Bombyx mori: one gene and its partners. Each later gene encodes a partner of the first gene's protein in a complex. Links are inferred from orthologs where the notes say so. Each region holds a gene or a part of one and is shown in the gene's direction. Other genes may lie near its edges.

Region 1 (3,954 bases):
CTGGTAGTCCATAACCTTTAGTTACTTCTTTACATTTCATTCTGAAATAGATAGTTTTTTTTTTTTAATATCCAGATAACTCGATACAATATATAAATGTGACAAACATTTTTGTTACATACAAATAATAACTTTTCAACACATTTTGAAGATTGTTGGATATATTTGATGGTAAGGAAGACGCTATTTTATATAGAAAGGCTATTTTTGTTTCTGTCATTTTCAATGATTAGTGCACTTAAAAACAACTTTATTGGGAAGTTGTCTTACTAATTACTACATATTATGAAACTTCATAACTTTCTCAAACGCTAATCAGTGGAGCGATTTTTTTTAATGGATTTTATGACCTGGTAAAAAAGACCTTTAAGTCATGTCTTATTTTAATTTATATTCTTATTTCTATGAAAAATGATAAAATGGAGTGAAATGAAATGAAGATGATTAATTTGAGACATTAATCAACTGGGATGAAATTAAATGAAATGAGATGATATGGAATGAAATATAATCGCAGTAAAATGGTGGTCATTTACTGAGATTTCTCAGTGGACTTTTTGGAGGGTATTGTCCATGGTTATAACCACTCTCACTCGTTTCCGCCAAACTTTTATAATCTAGATGTTTCAAATATTCATAAAGGTAGCTTTCCAATTACAGCGCATAATGCGACTCAATAGCACACAATGCTGAATTATGCTGAATCTTAATTGGAACGTAAAATAGTTTTCAAATGCATCAGCAGAGTGCGATAAGTTCAATGTTGAAAAAAAATATTCATGGAGTTGGCAACCTCATTAATATATAAATAATGTAGTAAACAATAATAATTGGTTGAAAACTATTTACGGTTATTTTAAGTAATTTGGATTTTTATTATTTCATTAACATTTTTTTACATTTTGAGTATTTTTTTTAAATGAGTTCTATGAAAATTATATACTTTTTAAGTGAATCATCCATACTTATATTTTTTTTAGCACAGTTTCAATTAACTTTGATTATTTCCAAGAAACTACGACGAAACGAAAGCCTTACAAAATTTTTCAACAATAAATAATATTACTAACGATAATATAAACAAAATTTCGATCAATTCCAACTTAAAGAAAAAACACTTGTCAATTTTCTGTCACTGAGTCGGTATCGATTGCGAGTATCACGCGAGAGCAGTACTTTTGAGAGTGCTCGATTGTGCGAAGCGTTGCTGTAGTAGGAACATTCGACGTTGAGCATTATGCCGCATAATGCGCTCTAGTGCTGTAATTGGAAAACAGGGAAAATAAACAACTTTAGGTTCGTTACATAATTCTAACGGATTCGTTAAATAATTCTTTCCGCTTTCAGTTTTCACTGACAGATCAAGTGCTACATTATAATTTTTAACATGCATTTCATATTTTATTGAAGCATGTACATATCTTACTTATTAGTTTTTACGACTGAATAAGAGTTTTGGGGTTTTACCTGTCCAACTGGATCGGCAAGTTTTGATAAAATCTACAGAACAGTAGGGTGAGCACGAACAGCTCTCGAAAAACTAATCGTATAGTTATTGAAAAAAATGCCAAGGAGTCAAACAGTGCCCCAAGCGTATCTATAAGTGTTGGAGTTTGAATATATAAGATTATCTCCATGTATGTAAGCGATGGTAGGCAACACTTGACACATGTAAGGTCACAGATTTCAAATATTGGAATGCTTATTTAAATGTTTAAAACAAATAATTTGTCTTCTCGTCAGTGAAGACAATGACTTCTCATCTAGACACGGACAGAGTAACATCTTAGAGTTGTATCAAAATAAAATATTATAATGGTGTAATAGTGTACAAAGTATTTGCAATATAATTAAATTAACCATGAAGCAGAGTGTTTTTAAATAGCCTCTCTCCTCCAGAACCTAGTCCCCTTAAATTTAACCGTCCAACAATAAAAACTAATTGTGCTAGTCCGAAAGATTTTAGACACTTCATATGGTCATGTTATTTAATAATGAAACTTATGCACATAATCGAGAGTACCGTACCAGCTTTATTTTGACGTAAGGAAAATTCTTCCGATATTTAAAATTGCATTTGGAACATTCTTGTCTTGAACTACTTACTTAATTATGTAAGCATTTCTTCATATTTAGTGTATTATTATTGTTCCACCGCAGTCACTGTTTTTCTTTTCAATGTAAATACTTTATAATATCTGACAAAGAGAAGAAAATAATGTAGTGTAGTACTGCTTTGTCTTTGCCTATTCTTTATGAATAGATAAATTTTTATTGTTTTTGAAGGGACAATTTTACAACGTTTTCCCGCCCTCGGGACCCTCTTGTCAGTCTGACGTTCAATCTGTCATAGTTCAAATTGGTACGCTTGTACACATGTTTGAATTTTTATCGGTTCTCGTTTTCAAAATATTTTCTTTTTAAAGTTTTATTAAACAAAATCAACTAATAATATTGAAGTAATTGAGCTCTGTCCATAGAAACGATTAGCCCATCTAAGTGAGAATCATTACAGAACACGTGTAACCGGTTACTTGTTTATTGTCATTGTTTTAAAGTTGCAGATTGCAGAATCGTTTAACAAACTTTGCAAATTAACTCACCCTTAAGCTCTGGTGTTACATATTATTCAGGTCGTGAACCATGGATGTAGCTGACACATATGCCACACAGAGTCAAGTAAAAGATGAAGTGGGAATTCGATGCCAAAAGCTTTTTCAAGACTTCTTAGAAGAGTATGTTTGATTTTAAAAATCAAGTTTGTTATAATACTAAGTTATTTGTTTTTTTATTTACCATATTATGAATAAATGCTTTTCTTCCATATTTTCATTAGTTGGCAAACAGACTTCTTGATATAAATTTAAAACCGCTTCAGCAAATAATTAACAAAAAAAAATATTTACAGATTTAAGGAAGATAACGAAATCAAATATGAGAAACATGCTAAGGAACTATTGAAACCAGAGCTCAGTACCCTTGAAGTTAGTTTTGATGATGTTGAAAAGTACAACCAGAATCTTGCTACCACAATAATTGAAGAGTATTATAGGATATATCCATTTCTAAACAGAGCCATTTTGAATTACATACTCAGTCTTGCGGAAACTGGAATGAAAAAAGATCTACAAGATAAAGAATGCTATGTTTCATTTGTTGATGTACCAACAAGACACAAAGTAAGGGAGTTAACCACAGCAAAGATTGGTACTCTCATAAGGATCTCTGGGCAGATTGTAAGGACACATCCAGTTCACCCTGAATTAGTTCAGGGCACATTTGTGTGCTTAGATTGTCAAACAGTTATTAAAAATGTAGAGCAACAGTTTAAGGTAAGATTTTTTAATTAATTGATTTTATTAATTCTTTAGAGAAATACAGTAACTTAATAAAATTAAATGGAATTAATTAAAATAAATAATAAATTAATTAACAAATATTATTTTATCCTCAGTACACAATTCCAACAATCTGCCGTAATCCTGTATGTGCTAATAGAAGGCGTTTTATGCTGGACGCAGACAAGAGCGTTTTTGTTGACTTCCAAAAGATACGAATCCAGGAAACCCAAGCTGAATTGCCCCGTGGTTGCATACCCAGATCTCTTGAAGTGATATTGAGGGCTGAAGCTGTTGAATCTGTGCAGGTGAATTTAAAAGAAACATGATATGGACAAGACCTGAACTTCCCAATTTCTCGATATTTGTAAAGCCAAAAATATCAAACTAAGATTAATCAATCTAAATTGAAACTAAAAGTATAATTTGTTTTTTAGGCTGGTGACCGTTATGATTTTACAGGAACACTGATTGTAGTGCCTGATGTGGGAGCCTTGTCAATGCCAGGCTCCAGGGCTGAGATTACAACCAGGACTAAATTAGCAAATGAAGGTCAAATGGAAGGCATAAAGGGACTCAAGGCTCTTGGAGTGCGAGAACTGCATTATAAGTGAGG
Region 2 (4,213 bases), on another chromosome or scaffold:
AATCAGCCTTCAATTTCGATAAACAATTAACGGGCTTGAACAACTTCCAAGATTTCTACACACAGTTTCTAGAACAATTCCAAGCGGTCAGCTATGGAGATGACGTGTTTTCTGCATGTGTATTGGTGCCTTTAGCTCAAAAGCATAATGTTAAATGGAGGAAATTGATATGGTCGGAATATGCTGGATGTCTCCGGGCGTTAGATTGCCCGGAACAACTACTTTGTTATGAAGTAAATGAGTATCTTTATCCAGAAGAGACGGACGAATCTTTGATTAAATCTTATCATCGCGCGCTATCCTGTAATTTACTACGACCGGATACAATAATGCATAAAATTGCGAGTCATCACGTGCACATATTCAAGAATCGATCTCAGATACAAAACACTTGAAATTACTAAAATACAATGTAACGTTTTTCTTGTTGACATTTTTGTCAATAAGATATTTTGACGGTATTCATTTTAAACTTCAGGAAGCATTTTCTCCAATTAACCTGATTTGTGTGGACAAAATTGATTTTTGTTCCTGTAGATCAACTCACGATGAACTCACATGCTACATTATTCAATGTAAACTCTCAACTATAGTATACGAAAGCCTTTATGACTTCTCTAACTACCCATGGCGAACGTGGCTTTTTGTAATAAGTAATAAAGGATTGAATTTTCAATATGAATTAAATTATTTTAATTTAATTAACCCTTAATATCCCCTGTTTTTCCCGTTTCGGTAAGTCGTTTCTGTTCCAATCTTAAGCCCCACCACCCTCGTTAAAATATGAGGTCGAAATTCTTGAATTGTCGACGAAACATTAATTCCGTCCCGTCCTTCAAGCACCGCGTGAATCCTTCGCGGCGTATATTATTTGTAATATAGTGGTACCCAAATAACCCATTGCTATATTAATTTAATTGAAGAAGTAACAGGAGGGGGCTTCGAACGCCTGGGTGAGAGTACAGGAGAGTCGTTTCGTAGGCGTCTGGACCTCGTAGGAGGATCAGAAATAAAGTACCTATTTTTATTCCGGAGTGAAATAAAGATAAATCCAATGGCAACAACAAAAATTAAATTACCATCTTCTTGTTTGGTATGTAGCTCATGTAAATTTTTGCATGTTTTCGTGTTTATGAAAAGAAAGTGTTAATTTATAAAAAAAAAATTGTTATTAGGCAGCAAGTGCTCAAGAGCGGGGAAATACAAAAAATGTCTTGAAATACTAGTCTGGTTCTTAGAAGCCATTGTGAAGTCTTAGTAGAATGGCCGCATTCTACTGGATAAAATAACTAAATAACTATTCTACTTAAACCCAGTCGACGGCCGTGCAAATATATGAAGTTGACAACTGGTTTACGCGGGAAAATTACTTAACAGTTAGTTTCAAAATGTCAACAAGAACAAAATATTGACATTATTGACAAGTTAATGACAGAAGCCGCAGGTGTTCAATTTCAATGGTGGTTCAATGTTTTTTATATGTTAAAAATTTCTAACACTCATAGGAAAATGGTTATTTCCTGAGTTATTCGTTCCTGTGTACGGCAAAAATGTTTATAGAGGACCTCAGAAATGACTTTTACAATCTCCTTTTAGGCAATGTAAGCTTTAAAACTGAAGATAAATATTCGTGAAATATTGACCTGAAAATTGTATTTTTGTTAATTTACTTCCAGCGCGTGTTATTATTAGTGCATTATGATGTAGATGCAATATGTACATGTAAAATACTTCAAGGATTATTCAAGAGTGATAATATATCATATACGCTAGTGCCGGTGGGGGGTATTTCTGAATTGAAGACTGCTTACGAAGAAAACAATGAAGAAGTCAAGTACGTAGTGTTGGTGAACTGCGGAGGTACTATAGACCTGGTCGATATCTTACAGCCCGAGGAGGATGTGGTATTTTTTGTGCTGGACTCCCATAAACCGACTGATGTCTGCAATGTTTATAGCGATGGACAGGTTAGTGGAACTAGAGAGAGCAGCAGATGTTATAAATACTTTATGTTGGCAATGATTTGGGAATTGAATTTTTAGACAGACATAAACTTGCTTATGGATGGGTGAACAAATGAAAAAAGTTCTTAATCCACTCCATTTCATATGAAGTTTGGGTGAATAAACAAGAATAACTGTTCAAAAGACTAGATTAGTTAGTTAGAGATAGAGAGATAGCTTAGAGCCTAAATTTGACAAAGTACATAATCATTATGTTAGGATATGACACAAAGTGCAGCAAAATGTTTCAACAGAACAGAATCAAAAGACTTGACCTCAAATAAAGGAAGGGAATTTAGAAGCTAACATGGCTTTATTGTTTTAACATTTAGAAAGAAAAAAAAACATGTTCAGTGAAGTTAGTACAACCCCACTAGATTACTAGATAGTAGGTAGAAATATATATTTTGTTCTGTTACAGGTGAGACTGGTGTACCGTGATGAAGAAGAGAACATTCCTAATTTTGATGATATATTCAGAGATGATGATGATGAGGTACGAAACTGTAATATCTGATTTAAGACTATTTTGCAATGCTGCAAACTCCAAAAGTTTTTAAAAATCTAGTTTACAATAAAAATTTAATGGTATTTAAAATTTGAAGTCAGTGTGAAGATATTAAAAATAATTACAGAACGAAGAAGAAATGCCAAGTGGTCGAGAAGACCTAGAAGCTTTTGTCGAGAGACGGCGTCAACGTAGAGAATGGGAAACAAAACGAAACGATCTTATGTTTAACTACACTCAATTCTCATATTATGGTAAACCGGTGAGTAAAACGTCTGATAAACCTATTGAACTGTGTTAACAATAATTATGGACATTAATGAATAAAGTAGATCCAGTCTTGTATCAATCTCACTTGTAATATGAATTTGACAATTATTTACAGATAAGTCTTAATCTAATAATACATTTGCATTAGAGTGCTTGCATAGCAGTAGAGCTGGCCTGGCTGCTATGTCGCAGCGGAGTGGAGTACACGTGGGCCGGATGCATAGCTGTCAGTGCGTATGCTGCCACTCACACACGCTCCCCTGCACAAGCTCTGCTTGATGCACATGCGCTGCATCGACATCTCGCCGCGCAACTACCTTCACATGTGAGTATGTTACTGCACATAAATATATGGGCACACACCAATATCATGCACGAGATACAACTACTGTACATTGCCACGGGTATTACTTAAGCTGGGTAGCCTTTAGAGGTTATGCCAGCGTAAACGAGAGAGTAGGTGAGCTCACGGGGCTCTAAGCTGTGGACGTTGCTAACTCTAGCCCTAGCACTGGTCTGCTTCTATCGGTTTGGATCCATCACCGGATCGGAAGGTCTGGCGAGAAACTCAGTGGGCTGTGTAAGTGGGTTAATTTACTTTTTTTTTTTTTTTTTTTTTTTTTTTTTTCCGGGCCGTGGGCCGAACCTCCTACGAGGTCCCCGCGCCTAGGGGGCGCGCGGGGTATGTGAGACTCAACGATCTGCAGGTGTTGAGAGCAGACCGCGGGCCCAAGGAATTTAGGGCCCACCCACTAAACGACTCCCCTGCACTCTTACACCCGGCGTCCGATCTCCGTCCGGGGTCAAAACCCGGTCAGAGTAGGGGGGTTCCCGCGGTCAACACTACAACCAGACACGCGGCGCCACCCCGAGGACGCCCGACCGACGGGTCGTCGAGGCGATAGTCGACGACCAACGACGTCAGTCTCCGCGGTACGGCGGCCCTTCAGGCCGCCCGGGCGATGCCGCTGGTGTTCCGGGATACCCCGCTGGGCCAGAACCAGCCTGCCGGGTCGGAACGCGATACACCGCCGACCGGGTTGCTCTTCCACAGTGTTCGGCGACGACAGCGACGACGAAAATGCGGACCGCATCGCAGTCCGCAGCCGCCGACGCGTCGTCCCGTCCTCCTGGTGCCAGCGCGCTAGAGTGACGGTAGCGTGCGGCGCAGTCTCAGCCCCCTTAGGTCGCCCCGTGACCATCACCGGGAGGAGACTGCCTCCTCATAGGGGCCGGAGCTGGACAAACGCCCTCCTCCGACCCCCGGCTCGACGGCGGCGGCACGGCGCCGAGAGGGAGGAAGAGTTCTCCCTCTCCCGTTCCGCCGCCTCCTTCTGCGAGATGGTGGACACGCAGAAGTCGAGCATCGCCTGCCAGGACTCATCGCTGCCGAGCATCGCAGCCACGACGGTCGGAAGCGACAAGTCCGGTC
Region 3 (4,011 bases), on another chromosome or scaffold:
GGTAGGGATGCATGGGTCCAAGTTAGCTCGTTTAGCTGCATATTAAGAATCGATTCTAAGCCATTTTTGATTAAAGTCTACTTGTGTCAAAAGATCTGGGTGATTCCAAAAAGAGCAGCAATGGAGCACATACGTAAATTTTGGAACGAAAAAACTAAATTTTAAGATGCAAAGTGCTTAATGTGGACTAATTTCAAGGAAACGGTCAGCAGAATTTTGAAATTTAGTAATAAATTTAGTTATTTATAAAATAAACTATGTTTAAGTGCCGCCGTTATAGTACGGTTGATATTTGCAAAGTACAGCTATTTGTAAGTACAGATATTTGTAAGTACAGCTCTGTATTACTGAGGTAATGTAGTTATGCGACTTCAAAGAAGCAGGTTTATGTGGCTAACAAGATTAAATGTCTTCGCTAGTACGTACGTACATTATTCGATACAAAAACTGCAATTAATTGTTTAAAACAAACTAGGTGTGTCCCGCGGCCCACGGCTCTATTTTAAGTAAAATTTAGAATGAATAATGTAAATGTATTTACGGGATGGTCAGTGTGCTTGTACCAAGCACATGTACAACAACTTTCAGTAGTAATGTCCGAAGTAGAGTTCATTGTTCCATCCACAGCTCATTTCTAGAAATAATTCTAGGATGAACTCTATAGCAAAGTATTTCTGAAAGCTATATTCAGACGAGTTTTGAAAATAATATGTAGTTTTAAGTGGGAGGCGACGCACTCTTTCATAGTGTCAGCACTGGCTTTTCTCTTCTGAATATCGACTTTTTTCGTTTTCTTGCTCTTCATCCCTAATTTTACTAGTAAGATAAGGCTTGCTGTAAGCCTACTAGGATGGCTCGAGCACCCATTACTACTGAGACTTCCACAACATGAAGCAATAAAAAAATATTTAAAAATATTAACCATTCAACCCTTCAAACCAGGATGATGATTGGTTTGCACAAGAAATAAACAAGATGGTATGGCGGCTTATACTAATTTTATTACAGCGTTCGATGTTATTCCTTCACTACTAAACTTTGTTCAAGAACACAGTGGAGAAACATACTTAACATACAGGAACATTATCATTTGTAGAAATCGAACTTGATATTAAATATCATCGAGACTCATAGCTGCTCACTCACTCTTCGTAGTATTACTTATGATAGAAATAGATAAAACATTGGTTCAAACTAGAGGTGGCTAATATAACCAATAACCAATAAATTTACCGGTAAAAAAAATTAACACTTCTATTCGATAAATAAAATTACCCAAAACGGTTAAAAATACCGTTTACCAAACACACTGCGTGTAGTGGCATAGGCAATTATTGGAAATTATATTTATGCAAGTTTCAACTTTATTTCAACACGTAAGATTCATTTTCGCCTTGCAGATGTCTTCAACTTATCATGTAAAAAATATTGAATTTTATGATTTCATTGTATGCTCTATACCCCTCAAAATAAAGCACAATATTTAAGTTGGTGTATTTTACAGTTAATGATAATTTTTTTCGTTAAAAAATTGAAATGAAACGATATTTTTACCGAACGCGAAGATGACGTGATTGGTTGATTTTTTAAACGTAATATTTTGTTTGGTACTTGACATTTTGGTGGCTCAGTGCATCTTTTCTATTATTTTGGTAAAGTTGTGTTTTTGTATTTTAAGAGATTTGTACTTTGTGTTTGTGTGTTTTGACTTTGTTTTTGTGTGTTTGAGACTTTGCTTACTTTGTTGTTGTGGATTTTTAAATTGTATATCTAATTTAAAATGCCGAAACGCAATGCAGAAATATGGGATCATTTCGAAAAGTGCTAGTACCATTCAAGTTTAACATTAGCAAAATTAATTTTTCAACGAAAAGATTTACCGGTATTTTCAACCAATAAAAATATCGGTAATTTTTTTTATCAATTACCAGTTAACAGATAAATAAATTCAACCGTTAACGCCATCTCTAGTTCAAACCAACAAAGTTTTAAACAAATAGTAAGCAAAAAAATCTGTGAGAAAAAAAATTACATTATTTTACCATAAACTTATTATTTCAATAAAGGTAGTAGAAATAAAATCCCGTGCTATTCAGAAGAAAAAAAAAATTAATGACAATTGAGGTATGTCATAAAGTAACAATTTGTTTAGTACAGAAAGCAAGACAAAAATACAGAAAATTTTAATAAAAGAAAAAGATAAAAGAAAAAAAAACTATGATTGTAATGTAGTGAAACATGAATGCGATTATATACTCTTTAAATTTATAATGAATTGGTAAAAAAAGCTCTTTAGAACCTAAAAAACACCAGAACTCAAATTCGAGTCGTGAAAGCTAGAATAATATCATTCAGTGACAATCTAAAGTTGCACTAGAATTCTGTGGGTATATATAATTTAGAAGAATATGGAGTCAACCGAAGAGTTGCAGTTCAGTGATGATGAAGAAGAAGTAACAGCTGAGACTGTTTTAAAAACACTACAAAGTGCTTGGCAAAATGAAAGATTGTCCCCAGAAATACTCCCTCATCAAAATGACATGGTAGAATGTATGTTAGGTCAAATACAACACATGGAAAGAAACATAAATAAACTTTCAAAAACTGATTTGAGAACTTCTATACACAAAATGGAGATTAGCAGAATTAAATTTATTATTTGTAATTATCTTAAAACTAGACTGAATAAGATTGAAAAATATTGCATTCCAATACTAAACCAAGAAAGACAAAGAATAGAAACTGATACTAATTACCTAACACCATCAGAATATAAATATGCTCAAGAATATGTTTTGAACATGGAAAATCATATGAAAAATGTGGTATTAAATAAAATGCCTGGTAATATGCAAGTCTTTGAAATGAACAAAATGGCAGAACATCCTAATTTACAAACGCATGTATTCCTTAAAGCCAATGAAACCATTAATGGGGTTGTATTAGAAGACTTGACTGGTGAAGATGAAGAAATTGACTTAGAAGGTTTGTTATTGATTTTCTCACAACTGAAACACATTATAGGTTTTCTTTTGTTATACTTTGATAGATAGAGCAATACCCTTGTTGGTTTAATGACCTTGACTATTGTACCACAGGATATCACCTATATCATTGAAGTTATCATGACTTAAATAATAATATTATGGTATATTGAATGATTTGATTATATATGTCTTAAATTGAATCTAATTCTGTTTGATTAATCCACAAAAAAGAAATAACACTATGGAAACAATAAACTTGCCAAAATAAAAATAATATCCCATAATTATTGGTGGTAGGCCATATGGGAATGTGTCACCAATTAATTAGTCTCTGCCATAAAGCAGTCATGAAGTTTGAAGAATGGGGACAGTCCCCATACTAGACAATGGAGACTTAGACCTCATATCTCAGGAGGTATTCACTTTTTATAGTATTTATAGATTTTGGTGAACATTTAACATTGTGTATGTCTGACACATACAACACTTCTGAACATACATTATGTAGCAATCTCAGAAATAAAAAAAAATCAAACACAGTGAATGATATTTACCATAGGAGTTAAAATCTTATACTTTTAAACTAATCTAAAGTGCAAAGTTGTGCTATAATTAAAATTATTATTTTTTTTAATTAAAACCTTGAGGCAAGAGTTCTAAGTCTCCGTTTTATGACTCAGTTAATGGCTGCCCCAACTCTTAAACCAAAACGCATTACTGCTTCATGGCAGAAATAGGCAGGGTGGTGGTACACATCATGCAGGCTCACAAGACACCGTACCACTAGTGAAAGTGTAAGTAAGATGTTAAATGATAAAGCTGTAATGTAAAAATGCTTGTAATTACCTTAACATTTCAATTTAAAGTCTAAATTTTATTGTAGGTATGTAGCCCAACCATATACTTACACCAGTAAAGTCAAATTTATTAATTTCGTAGGTTTGTAATTGCAGTAATGCTATCTATATAAATACTAAGTTTATGCATTTCCTCAGAAAACTAGGGAATGTCATAGAATTTTAAA
Region 4 (3,835 bases), on another chromosome or scaffold:
GGGAGGGGGAGGGGGGGGGGGGGTTAGGGCGGGGGATATTATCTTGTTGAACACCCAGTAAAACGAAGTCACTTTTTGATTCCTGATTTAATCAACAATATGATAACTTAATTCACTTTAACATTTATCCAACCTTAACCAGTACGTAAAACAGTCACTTAATCACACAATGTAACAAGGATATAGTAAGTGCACCGAGCAAACGCAGTCGGCCGGGGCACCTGGCTTATCTATGAGTCACTCCTGTTGCACGTGCTGTTTTACGAGTGGAGTGACACGGCCGGCGCACCTGGCTTGTGTATGACTCACTCCTATTGCACGTGCTGTATAACAGAAGTAACGTTAACGCCGTCATAGATATGTTACTGCTTATTATTTCTGTGTGTTAACACAACGTAACGACATTGGGAATGTCGTTGGTGTAGAGAGCGTAGAGGATCGGTGACAGGATACCTCCTTGGGGAACCCCAGCTGTGGCTGGGCGCATCCACGATTTAGCGCTCTTGACCGCGACAAAAAGAGTTCTGCCCTCCAGGTACGACCCCAGTAGTCGCACGTAGGCGTGCTGGAAGTCCGTGTTCTGCACCAACTTGCAGATAAGCCCCGCACGCCAGACACGGTTGAAGGCCTTCTCGAAATCGAGAAATACTGCCGCCATGTACTGGCGTGCGTTGGACCGTCAAAAGGTGCATAACGCAGACCAATTGCAGCGTTGTTGAGTGACTGCTACGTATCCAGAATTGCTCGGGTCTGAGAAGGATGTGCGGAGACACTCTTCTCACCAGCAGCCGCTCGAACAACTTGCCCACATACGACAACAGGGTAATCGGACGATAATTGGAGGGCTGTCTTCTGTCCTTCTAAATTCCCGGGAAATATCCTGTAGACAGAATGTAATTAAACAGCCGTGTCTTAAAAGACACGACTGATTCTAGAAAGTGGAAAAATGCAAGGGTGAGAATACCGTCCTCACACAATGCCTTGCGCCTCTTTATCCGCTTGATAAGGAGGCGCAATTCAGCGGGAATGATGAAATCATCATGTCCCAGAGGTGGCACCGGGAGGTTAGTTTGCACGTCGAACACTTTGTTGAGTTCGACGAGTACGGTTATCAGGGTCCCTAAGTCTGCTCCTAATGTTAAAGTTGAAAGCGTCTTTGCAAGAGTAATTGGATCTGATGGTCGACCCGATAAGGAGAGTGAGATTATTATTGGCTGTATTGCTACTAAGTGATTATCTGTAAAAAGTTACTTGTATGACTTAGCTCCCACTTCTAGAAAATTTTAATATCTTAAGATTAGGTTTTGGTATTATAGATTTAAAGATCAAGGCTTCTGTGATTTTCGAACTCATCCAAAAATGATGCGTATCCGATCATAAAATGTCAAATTTACTATCTGTCACAGTCTTGAGCTGTCACTCATCAAATTAATAACAACTTTCGCGCCAATGCCAAAAATGTTTTTATCTAAATTATTAAAGTATTTTGTTTGTTATCTCTCTCATTGTTAAGTAAATAAGTAACACACAATGTTCGCAGAAAAAGTTATAGAACTAATTAAAGAAGTAGATAGAAATCCTGACACAATAGATCAATATAATGTAAGTTGGATGTGCCCATCTAGGTATGGGATTGGAATTAGAATAAACTTGTTATATCTAATGAAAGCTTTAAGTTACTATTTAATACCGAAACCAAGATTTTATCCGGTTGTCATCTATTCTGTTTGTCTATGCATATGCACTATAAAGTCAGAAATCCATTTAGAAGTGACAAGTATATTAAATTATTGTTATAGCACCGCCTATTATTATTTTTGTGTCTTTTAATCTTATAAAGTACATAGTATTTCACATGTTACAGGATGAAAAAATACGCCAAATAATAGAAGAAATGCATTTATTATTTAAATTGAACATGAATGATGCGTAAGTCACTGGTTTTCTACTAATATAACTGCAAGTAGTTATTGTTCAATATGCAAGATTTGCTATGATCACTTCTATTCTGTAACCTCCTATTCTGTTTCATGTGATGCAAAAGTGCTCAGGTAACCTTGTAACTCCAGGAAGGTCTATTTTTGTTTTTTTTTGTCAATCTATTGCTACTAACCTCGAGGGGTTATGCTAGCTTCATGGGATTTGAGGTAGCCCTGAGATCTCTCACCCAATTATGCAAAAAAAAGTTTTATGACTTTTTTGTTTTATAACTCTTCACATTCAAGCAGTTTGGATAACTTGCCCAGCAGATTTGATAGCTTTACTGGTTGTGCTTGAGTAGCACAGATATCTCACCCAGCAGATTTGTTACAGCACTACGGTTATGTATCTGCTTAAAAATACTTTAGTGGACAGGCTTGGCTTCAATTTCTAACCAAATCTTAGCTCAGCTTATTGAGTTTTTTTACAGTGTAGTTGTTTTTTAATAATAGTACTAATTATTGTTTTTGGTATATAAAAAAAATAGAGAAATGTGTGTTTGTTTGTTGATCTTAAAGTACTTTTAAAATGTTTCTCTAATTTGGCCAAAATCGGTCTGAGTTGCTGGTCCGCACAAACGAAAACGTCATTTAGTGCAAAGGGGTTAATATTTTCATGCACTTGAGTCTCATGTGGTGTTGTAATAAGGTTACCTGCTATTAGTCCATTTTAATTTAAATTTCAAAAATATGTAGTTCAATTGCTCATCAAGTTCATTTATAGAAGAAGAAGATAACAACAAACTGTTTTATGATTACCGCTTGTATTAATTGAATTACTATTTTTAGTAATGCTACAACAGAAAACAGATCATTGTGGACCACAGTTCAAGTAAGACATTCTGCCCTTGAACGCAATAAAAGGTGTATATTAGCCTATCTCTACAACAGAATGAAAAAAATTAAGACATTACGTTGGGAATTTGGTGCAGTACTACCTCCAGATATCAGAGAATTGCTTTCTGATGATGAATATCAATGGTTTTCAAAATACTCTGGAAATCTTGCTTTGTATATGAGATCTTTAGGCCAAGATATAGGATACAGTGGCATAGACTTGACTGAAAATTTAAAGCCCCCTAAATCATTGTTCATCGAAGTGCTTTGTGTTGTGGATTATGGTAAATTAGAACTTGAAGATGGTGATGTGGTTATGCTTAAGAAGAATAGCAGACATTATCTTCCTACTTCGGAATGTCAGACTTTAATACGACAGGGTATTCTGAAACAAATAATGTGAATTTATTTTATCAATAGTGAATTTTTGACCATTTTATGTTTTAAATAATATTGTGAAAAATAATGTTTGATGTCTGTATGGAAATAAATTTTATGAGAAGATTATTTTTACCATAAGCTTAGTGATTTGACTTGATTAGATTTGCACCTCCTAATAAAGCAAGTGTGTGTCCATTTTTTTTACTATCCCTGATGGGTGAAAGAGCAGTCATAGTGGCCTAAAGAATATAATGCTTGCTGTAGTCAAATCAAATGATGCAACAATCAATATCATCATCAGCCCCGAGGTCTCCTAATATCAGACTTCAGACTTAGAACTTTTGTTTAGGTGTGTGGCAGCATTTGCGTTTTTGATATTTACGTGCCCTGTTAATGAGCTGGCATTGAAAAAAACTATTTTCTCAAAAAAGATACAGCGCAGTTTTTTTTTTTTTTTTTTCCTACCTATGATGGTAGCCTTGAGGGCTCAAACCTGATGACGTTGCTAACACGAACCCTAGCAAGAGCCGTGCTTCGCAGAATCTACCACCGGATCGGAAACGCGACCCACTGAGAAGATACGGCGAGAAACTCAGTGGGCTGTGTCTGGGAGTTAATTTACTCGTCGAGCCCTTCGA

Evidence for each region.
Region 2: DNA replication licensing factor Mcm6 (region 1) and cell division control protein 45 homolog share a complex: the UniProt entries of both Homo sapiens proteins name them as parts of the CMG helicase complex. The link is inferred for Bombyx mori from reciprocal best matches to the Homo sapiens genes MCM6 and CDC45.
Region 3: DNA replication licensing factor Mcm6 (region 1) and DNA replication complex GINS protein SLD5 share a complex: the UniProt entries of both Homo sapiens proteins name them as parts of the CMG helicase complex. The link is inferred for Bombyx mori from reciprocal best matches to the Homo sapiens genes MCM6 and GINS4.
Region 4: DNA replication licensing factor Mcm6 (region 1) and DNA replication complex GINS protein PSF1 share a complex: the UniProt entries of both Homo sapiens proteins name them as parts of the CMG helicase complex. The link is inferred for Bombyx mori from reciprocal best matches to the Homo sapiens genes MCM6 and GINS1.

What each region holds. Positions count from the first base shown.
Region 1 is NC_085132.1:5,464,727-5,468,680, reverse strand, and holds the start of DNA replication licensing factor Mcm6, read left to right. Parts: upstream 1-1,154; 5' UTR 1,155-1,296; intron 1,297-2,295; exon of another isoform or gene 2,296-2,529; intron 2,530-2,633; 5' UTR 2,634-2,643; coding exon 2,644-2,735; intron 2,736-2,908; coding exon 2,909-3,332; intron 3,333-3,454; coding exon 3,455-3,646; intron 3,647-3,775; coding exon 3,776-3,948; intron 3,949-3,954. Other genes in the region: uncharacterized protein LOC101741249, read right to left, coding at 1-41, 123-220. UniProt on the Homo sapiens protein: Acts as a component of the MCM2-7 complex (MCM complex) which is the replicative helicase essential for 'once per cell cycle' DNA replication initiation and elongation in eukaryotic cells.
Region 2 is NC_085122.1:1,052,313-1,056,525, reverse strand, and holds the start of cell division control protein 45 homolog, read left to right. Parts: upstream 1-1,413; 5' UTR 1,414-1,550; coding exon 1,551-1,601; intron 1,602-1,676; coding exon 1,677-1,967; intron 1,968-2,424; coding exon 2,425-2,499; intron 2,500-2,638; coding exon 2,639-2,773; intron 2,774-2,929; coding exon 2,930-3,106; intron 3,107-4,213. Other genes in the region: RNA polymerase II-associated protein 1, read left to right, coding at 1-395. UniProt on the Homo sapiens protein: Required for initiation of chromosomal DNA replication. Core component of CDC45-MCM-GINS (CMG) helicase, the molecular machine that unwinds template DNA during replication, and around which the replisome is built.
Region 3 is NC_085121.1:9,245,601-9,249,611, forward strand, and holds the start of DNA replication complex GINS protein SLD5, read left to right. Parts: upstream 1-1,211; 5' UTR 1,212-2,408; coding exon 2,409-2,985; intron 2,986-3,667; coding exon of another isoform or gene 3,668-3,690; exon of another isoform or gene 3,691-4,011. Other genes in the region: opsin-1, read right to left, coding at 1,068-1,074. UniProt on the Homo sapiens protein: Required for correct functioning of the GINS complex, a complex that plays an essential role in the initiation of DNA replication, and progression of DNA replication forks.
Region 4 is NC_085118.1:17,161,055-17,164,889, reverse strand, and holds DNA replication complex GINS protein PSF1, read left to right. Parts: upstream 1-1,400; 5' UTR 1,401-1,530; coding exon 1,531-1,602; intron 1,603-1,864; coding exon 1,865-1,929; intron 1,930-2,768; coding exon 2,769-3,219; 3' UTR 3,220-3,335; downstream 3,336-3,835. UniProt on the Homo sapiens protein: Required for correct functioning of the GINS complex, a complex that plays an essential role in the initiation of DNA replication, and progression of DNA replication forks.